Tribolium castaneum: one gene and its partner. The protein of the gene in region 1 binds, or shares a complex with, the protein of each later gene. Links are inferred from orthologs where the notes say so. Each region holds a gene or a part of one and is shown on either strand. Other genes may lie near its edges. The genes, in order: Nup43 and Nup37.

Region 1 (4,585 bases):
ATCTTCAGTTTGTTTTATTTACACAAGAGCATTAGAAATCAGGTGACATGCGTCTTAACTTTTGGGCTTGCGCAGTGGTGTAAATTTATAGATAAAGGTAAACTCCCAGTACATCCCCGAAATCCCTGTAAATCCTTAAACTTGCACACCATACATCCACAGCTGTTTACAGGTCGTAATGGTTATAAAATAATATAATCAATTTTTATGTAATGTAGAGTCACAAAATATGTATTATTACAAAAAATCATCGATAAACACTTTCTCATGTTTTTTAACAGTAGGTATAGAGAGAATTATTATTGTAAAAATAGTAAGTCCTGTTAGCCTTTTTCAATATTATGTTTTCGCCTAAGATTCCGCATCCAATACCCTTTATGCTTCGTCCTAAACTGACAAACATTATTTTCTTCCAAGCGAAATTGTGGAGATATACTAAAGTAATATTTCATGACAACAATGCAATGGGGCCAGAAAATGATTAGTCTGCAGTAAAAAAGATGTTTATTGCTCACTTCGTCTCACTTTTCAGAACAGATGTTACCATGAGCAGACATGGGGCCTAAGCTGAAGCAAGCCCAAAGAAACCCTAACTTGCGAATCATTTTCTGTCGTCAACTGCACTGTTATAAAATATTACTTTAGTCAATCTTAACTACTCTGCTTGGAAGATAATACAAAATAACTATTTAATATTATTATTGGTTTTAAAATGAGATTTGTGACATACAATAAGGGCCTTACGTTTCACCAAATTATTCTATAAAGTTAAGTGAAACATTTAAACCTGTTCTGATATGTAATGTTCTAAAAACATGTTTTTAAACAGCGTCTTGAAAATAGTCTGTGCAACAGACATTTAATGAGGTTGAAAGTATATGGTGGTGCAGTGTGTGATCTTTTAAATCGCCGGCTTTATTTTTTGCATCATATGAACATTCGCGACATTTAAATATATATTGTTTACAGTACTGAAATAACCATGTCTGTTACTAATAGCAAGTTTTAGAAACACTAATACAAAAAACGTCTCTAAATTGCAACTAACGCAAGCTGTGAATGGAATCACACATTTGATTCAAAGGCACATGTTTAATGTGTGTATAGTGTATCTTATTCAATGGTGTCCCTTTAAATGTAGAAACTGGTTCGTCTCAAAGGAATAATCACGACATTTGTGCTCCTCAAGGGGCTGCTACAACACTAAACTGGCTTAGTGTCTTCCTCAGGCAACAGCTGTTTAATCATTTTCGTCTTCGATTTTTTTATCAATCTGAAAAATTTCTAGGTTAAAAAAGTTGTAAATTGTTTTAGTTTTACTGACCTGTTCCATTTCTTGGCTTTGGGAGAGCTTATCACATACTTTATTTTGTATTTATTACTAAATTCGTCTAATTGCCTTTCATGTAGGGGGGCTTTATAAAGGCCAGTTCTGTTGTTGAAATTTCATGACTGACATCTAGTGGAAAACATTACTGTCAGTGAACAGGTTGCCATGAACGTACACCTACTTCCGTTTCTATAAAATAAACCCCCCACATAAAAAAATCTGTTTTAAATAGTTATTTTATTTTTAAACATAAACTTATTACAGTTCAGCCGTAACAATATTTTCTAAACATTAATCATGTATTCTTATAACGTACTTCTGGCTTAAAAAAATGTAGAGTCGTTAAGCAATTTGTCTTATAGATTTGATACGGAGTATACTCCACCGCACGTATAGTGGGTTGCCTGACAATTATTCAATTATGCTTTCAACGACACAGTGAGGTTATAGCGCCACTTTTTTAATTTTTATGGGCTTAATTATACACAAAATATGGCCCACAACATTCATGGAACATTTGTTTCTGAAAAAGTTAATAAAATCCGTTGGAGGCCCGATTTTATGAATGCCTCGCATTATTTTGTAACCGGCAGTTGGGACAATGACCAAAACAGCATCAAACTTTGGGATTTCCAAGAAAATGAAGAAGATGCCGAAGTTTATCCATTTCTGGTGGCTGAATTTCCACACAACGGGGACATAACTGAAGTTAAAGTATGTATATTACAATCAGTATTGCGATACGAGCCACGTAGCGAGTGAAACAATTTTTGTCATTTTTTAGTTCTTAAACGGCGATTTTTTCGTTGCTTCTTCGTCGTCGGGCTGCGTCAGTCTGCTGAAGATTACTTCCGAACATGGAATTGATCCCTTAATTGAGAGAAAAATTTACTGGGAGGGAGTTCACAAATTTCCCAATGGGGAGAATTGCCCTTGCACTGCCTTTTGCACCTACGACAACGATATTGTGAGCGTTGGCGAAGACGGTTCTATCAATTTGTTAAATGCCCAAAACCAAAACGTTATCCGCACAATTGAAAACGCCGATAGTTGCTCAATTCGTTGTGTGGCTTTTCTGAAGCATAGCGAAATTTTGACCGGTAATTTTCGTGGACAATTGAAGATTTTCGATATTCGGGCCCCTAAAAGCCAACCCGCGACCACTTTCATGTTGAGTGGGGATCAAATCTCGCCATTGTGTCTCCAAAACCACCCTACACAGAGGCATTTGGTGGTAGCTGGCGATGAAGAAGGTACCTATTTTTTTTTTATTTATGTTGGCAAACGCCAAAAATGGTGCCAACTTAAAGGTATTGGCAACTTTCTTTTAAATGATACCAAAATAGTTATTTACATTATACGTGCGGTAGGTATAATTTTACAGCGTGAAGTTTTAATAAAATTGAACGCTGTAAAATGAGTCGTCTAGTTCCAAAACCTGCCGTCTCTATTCAGTATTTTTGTTTAATGTTTAATACAAATGCTGTTGAACAAATAAATTTTAAATTACACTGATATAAAACCTCTTAGAGAGTAGAATTCGATGACCTATACTTTAATTACAATGTTTGAATTTAAAGCCTGCATTTTTTTTAAGGTTGGAGGTGGCAAGTTTTGGAACAAGTTGGAGAGGAGATGGGCGGTTATGGAACAAAATGTCTTTTAAAAATCCTTTTTTTAAGACTAGATAGTGAAATGGAATAAAAAAACTCAAACTACGTATTTGCTGAAATAACATGTGGCTAAAGTTTTAAGTCTTTTAAGGCAAACACATAACTCCAAAAAACAACGCGGAGATAGTTGATTTTGGAACGCATATATAAGATTACTTTACGTAAAGAAATGACATTGATATTTCAAACTTTAATGCAGTTGATGTTAATAACTATTTTTTGTTAGTATTTAGTCCGCCAGATAATTGTGCTAAATCCACATTATCATTAGTACGCAAAAAAATCAACGATAATGGTTCCTTTCGTCTTCAGCTTGCTGCTGTTGATGAAGTTTATGAAATAGTTATAGTGTTGACGAAAATATTTTTATTTTTGATGTTGTGTATAGTTCTGCGTAACTGGCTATGTCTATACCATAAACCAATGAAAACTTCCACAAAACCGCATCAATTATTTTGGGCATCTTCTTAGTACCTGCAAGAGGCTCATTATCTTTTAGGATTCCTTCTTGTAAACAACAATGATCAAAATAATAACTGCAATTGTGGGGTAAGTTTTTGTTGGTTTGCGGTTGACATAGCAAGTAATGTGAGAACTATAAGTATATACCCTATATATACTCAAAATTGACGCCCATGCTTTTAGGATTTGCTTCAGAAGACTAAAACAAATCGAAAGTTAAGAGTGAAAAATTGTCCAATTGTCCTTCGTTATCGAGTTATTGATAAGTATCTAAAATTTAAAATTTGTACATTAAATTTTATTAAAAGCGAATTTACCAAATTTGTTGTCACAAAGTATGCTATAATGCGATTTGGAAACTTTTCCGTGTAGGCCCTAGTCTCAGCAGTGGCATTGCCATCATACAAACATCTTACTTATAACCGAGCTTTTAACATATCGTCAAAATTTCGAATACACTAATAAAGTGGTATCTTATCATTTAACACATACAAAAACGAAGGAAATTAATAATACTCTTTACTAGACACAGTTATTCAAAGAATTTTAATATCGCTAACATCAACTAATCAATTATGTTGCACAAATAATTGGAAAGACAGCTAAAGCTTATTATTTACATTTTTATCAATAACTCTAAAACGAACAATTGGAAAATTTTTTACTCTTAACTTTCGATTTGTATTAATACCCTAAATCAAACTGCCATAGCACAGGCGTCAATTTTGAGACTTTTACTTGTTAGAACGTAATCTATTCAACATTTTTCAAACGAGCGTAAATGGTTGGCTTGGTTAAACGAAACTGATCGAAGAAATTTACATCACTAACAATTTCAAAATAATTTTTCTTTTTCTATAAATTTTTTGTCTTCGCAGTTCGGAAGAAGATAATGAATTAGAAGAAAAAATGAACACTTTCTTAATTTTGTGCAATTCAAAAAACTGACAAATTTAACGTTTGTTAAAGTTGCTTTTGTAATTTGCCGCCGTCTTTACGTCTTTACCTAATCATTATTTGACGAAATATTTTACGAAAATTTTTAGGTTGAAACGCATTTTAAAAATTGAAGTCACTTTTAAAAGTTTAAGTTACTTTAAAATGATTTATGAAACGATCC
Region 2 (3,546 bases), on another chromosome or scaffold:
TGGTTTAGTGGTTACACTTTTCTCAGTGATATTTTTCGCAAGGCCCGCCAACAGGGAGGCCCTTAACACGTCCTCATCCTCCTCTAGGTCAATAACCGGGTTTTTTTCCTCCGTTTTTTTCTCATCTTTCGGCGTATCATTCTCTTTATTTTCGAGCGTTTCTTCCTTTTTCCGCTTCCGGCGTTGGAATTTGTTCAAAATCGCGGTCTTTAGCGCTTCCAAACGCAAATTCTCCAGTTCAGTATCGTCCATTTTATCTGAGGTGTCTTCGTTTTTTTGGGGGGGCTCGGGGGCGCTCGCGGCCAGGCCCCCCATGGCTTTGAGTCGTGTCTCGAGGGGTTTTTTGAGCCCCTCATCACTACCACTGATGTGGATCGCCTCTTTTAACTTGCCCTTGAGATCTTGAGGAGGTGACACATCACTGTCACTGTCGTCAGACGACGGTATTCGGCGCTTTTTGCGCCGTTTTTGGTGCTTTGATTTACGGTGCAGTAGCTTTTTAGTTTTGATCTTGTCTGATTCACTATCGCTACTTAAAGGGGGTGCACGTAAATGTTGGTTAGTTGAAGCAAACTTACCAAAAGTTGAATCGATGATGGAATTATCGGAAATGGCTTCGAAATCATCATCGTCAACTATTTCACCGTCTTCTAACTGATCACTTGGGCTCGGATCGCCCATTTTTACGTATTTTATTGATTTTTTTGAGAAAGAACAAAGGTTTCTCACAAATGGCGTGTCAAATGACAATGACAGGCAAGGGCGGCGCTGATAACGCTACCAAATGTCCCTAAAATGCGAAGCTAATGTGTGTGTATTCTATGGCTAATTTACACAAAATGACCAACAAACGGCCTGGAATTTACGCCCTTTATTCAGACAAGCGTTTACTACCACAAAACAGTCAAGAAATGACTTATTCTTCACACAAGGCACTGAAAATCAAGCGCCGTTAGTGGTGCCAACCTAGTGAATTTTCCCAATTTTGGGGAATTCTTTTAAAGTTTTTTTTTAAATAATTTTGAAAAATTCTAAGTAAAACTATAACTTTTTGAAAAAGACATCTAAAAGATAACTTGAAGAATGTAGAAGAAGCAGCAACATGACAAAAAAAAAACACATTATTTTACGATTTTTTATTCATATCAAAAAAATATTCTCATCACAATAATAAAATAAACTATTTCTCAATAAATTGGTTCCGGCTGTTGCGTCATTAATAACCCGAAACGTTTTTTGATTGTGATTCGCTCACGTGAGTATTTGTCCTCGGGTGAAAAACGTGCTAAAACAATAATGAGTTCACGTAAACCCCCCAAAATTCACGAATTGTTACCTGGATGTGCCGAAAGTGTGGGTTTTCCTGAAGGGTCAAATTTCTACAAAAAAACTCATTTATCACAATATTTAAGACAGTAAAGTAACACTCACATTTAAGGTGTAAACCCGGTTACCGTCTTTATCCAAATAATACATTAAGTACATCTTGAATGAAGAAAATTCCCACAAAAAAACGATTTTTTTCGCTTCACAACAAATGTGGTTTAAGGTTAGTTTTGGTTACCAATATGACGCCGCATGGTGACATAACACAAAAGTTACTAAAGTTAGGTTATTGTAGGTTAGATTTCTGGCGCACTTTTCTAATCAAACATAATTATGGAAATTGCATCGCATTTGAACGATTCCAAGGTAGTATTTAAGAAGGATTTTTCGGAATATGGACAAATACTAAACATTGAATTCTCCCCTTTTATTCTTTCCCAAGATTTGATTTTAATTGGGTTCGAAAGTAAAGTAGTCCTGGGGCATTTAAAGATAGATGAGGTATGTTTTGTAACAATAGAATGATGTTTGATTTATTAAAATTGTAGGAACAATCGCTGGAACTCGATATTTTGGCAGAATTCACTCTTAAATCACGCTGCTGTTCCTTAACATTTTCCCCAGAAACATCAACCAGCATTTTACCAAATAATATAATTTTCGCAGCGGCCTGCAAAGACTACAAGGTGCGAGTGTTTCGGAGTGATTTAAGGGGCTCTGATGTGTGTAAGGTTCGTAAATAAATAAATAAATTGATTTGAATTGGCATAAGAGTAGGCTGTGATTAGTAAATAAAAACCTTTTTTTTTAATTATTTTTTTGACTAGGTCTTAAGTGAGCACAACAGTTACATAAACGACGTTAAATTCGACCCTGACAATAATTTTCTGGTGTCAGTGAGTGACGACAACACTGCCAAACTATGGGACACCACCGATTTTCAATGTGTGGTGACACTGCAACTGACGTCACCTGGAATGTCAGTATGTTGGCACAAAGACGACGGTTCAAAATTACTCATTGCTGAAAAAATCGGTTTAATTCGTTTCTACAACGTTGAGACGCAAAATCCAATTCTATCGCTTGATTATGGGAAGCCCCTAGCTTGTGCCCATTGGGCGCCGTCCGATTCGCAATTAGTGGCATCATTGCAGTTAGGGGAATTACTCATTTGGGATTTGTCAAAGCCGTGCGTTCCGGCGAGTAATACTCTTGTTTTTACCGAAGCTGGAGGTTTTGTTAGGTTTAATTCATTTGGGAATTTGGTGGCGGCGATTAATAGTCTAGATAGTACGTTGAAAATTGTTGATTGTCAGATTAATCAAATGAAGTTGTCAGTTCCTGTCACACTTCCGAGTAATGTTAGTTGGCATTGCCGATATCCAATTGTTTGCGTTGGCGATTATATGACGTTGACTTTTTGGAAAGTTGTCTCAAAATAAACATATTTCACATAATTCTGTGTTTTATTTAATTTTTTTCTCCGGAACTTCTTACCTGAGTTCTTACACACTTTTCATGAGTATTTTGATTTCAGAAAAAATACAAAAAATTTTATTACATATACACTCAATCATGGAGGGTTGTATATGTATGTTGGTAATCTTTTTTAAATAGTACTAGAATCAAAAAAATCGATGTTCTTTTAACTGTCATTGAAATAAATGTGTTATAATCATTATTTGATCAATATTTTCAAAAAATCTTAGTAGCCTTGCAATTTAACAATTGACAATGCTGAAAATTTTAGTACTTCAAACATTTGTTTATTAAATTAAAAAAAATCACTTACTACAAAAGGTTCAAGAGATGATATTTTGAATGAAAATTTGCATAAAAATTAACATACACATTTTTTTTAAATAAAAAAACGCAATTTTGAGTTTTTTTTAATATTTACTTAATACAATTTGTTTCCTCTGTGTAACTGTGCTGTGCTACAAATAATAGGAAATACGATAACACAGTTATCGCACAAACATTGTTAATGATACGAAAATGGAGCATCCGTGATTTTTTTCCCCAAACAAGTGACATAACCTATCACTACCAGCCTCATACTTATTCCAAAACCCTTCCAACGTTTTTTCCCAACAATTATCGGTCCCCACATCTGAATTAATAATAATTTTCCCGCCTCACGTATCCATAAACACTCCAAGTCATTTATTGTGTAACTAAGTATATTATTGGTTCATAAAAGAAATGTAACAAAATGGT

What was found.
Region 2: Nup43 (region 1) and Nup37 share a complex: the UniProt entries of both Homo sapiens proteins name them as parts of the nup107-160 subcomplex of the nuclear pore complex. The link is inferred for Tribolium castaneum from reciprocal best matches to the Homo sapiens genes NUP43 and NUP37.

Annotation. Positions count from the first base shown.
Region 1 is NC_087398.1:14,041,614-14,046,198, reverse strand, and holds the start of Nup43 (nucleoporin Nup43), read left to right. Parts: upstream 1-1,720; 5' UTR 1,721-1,822; coding exon 1,823-2,044; intron 2,045-2,114; coding exon 2,115-2,583; intron 2,584-4,585. UniProt on the Homo sapiens protein: Component of the Nup107-160 subcomplex of the nuclear pore complex (NPC). The Nup107-160 subcomplex is required for the assembly of a functional NPC.
Region 2 is NC_087402.1:810,323-813,868, reverse strand, and holds Nup37 (nucleoporin Nup37), read left to right. Parts: upstream 1-1,413; 5' UTR 1,414-1,431; coding exon of another isoform or gene 1,432-1,485; 5' UTR 1,486-1,490; coding exon 1,491-1,549; exon of another isoform or gene 1,550-1,574; intron 1,575-1,621; coding exon 1,622-1,692; intron 1,693-1,768; coding exon 1,769-1,827; intron 1,828-1,874; coding exon 1,875-2,057; intron 2,058-2,153; coding exon 2,154-2,768; 3' UTR 2,769-2,783; downstream 2,784-3,546. Other genes in the region: DNA mismatch repair protein Msh3, read right to left, coding at 1-681; Nop10 (H/ACA ribonucleoprotein complex subunit 3), read right to left, coding at 1,188-1,285, 1,337-1,379, 1,432-1,485. UniProt on the Homo sapiens protein: Component of the Nup107-160 subcomplex of the nuclear pore complex (NPC). The Nup107-160 subcomplex is required for the assembly of a functional NPC.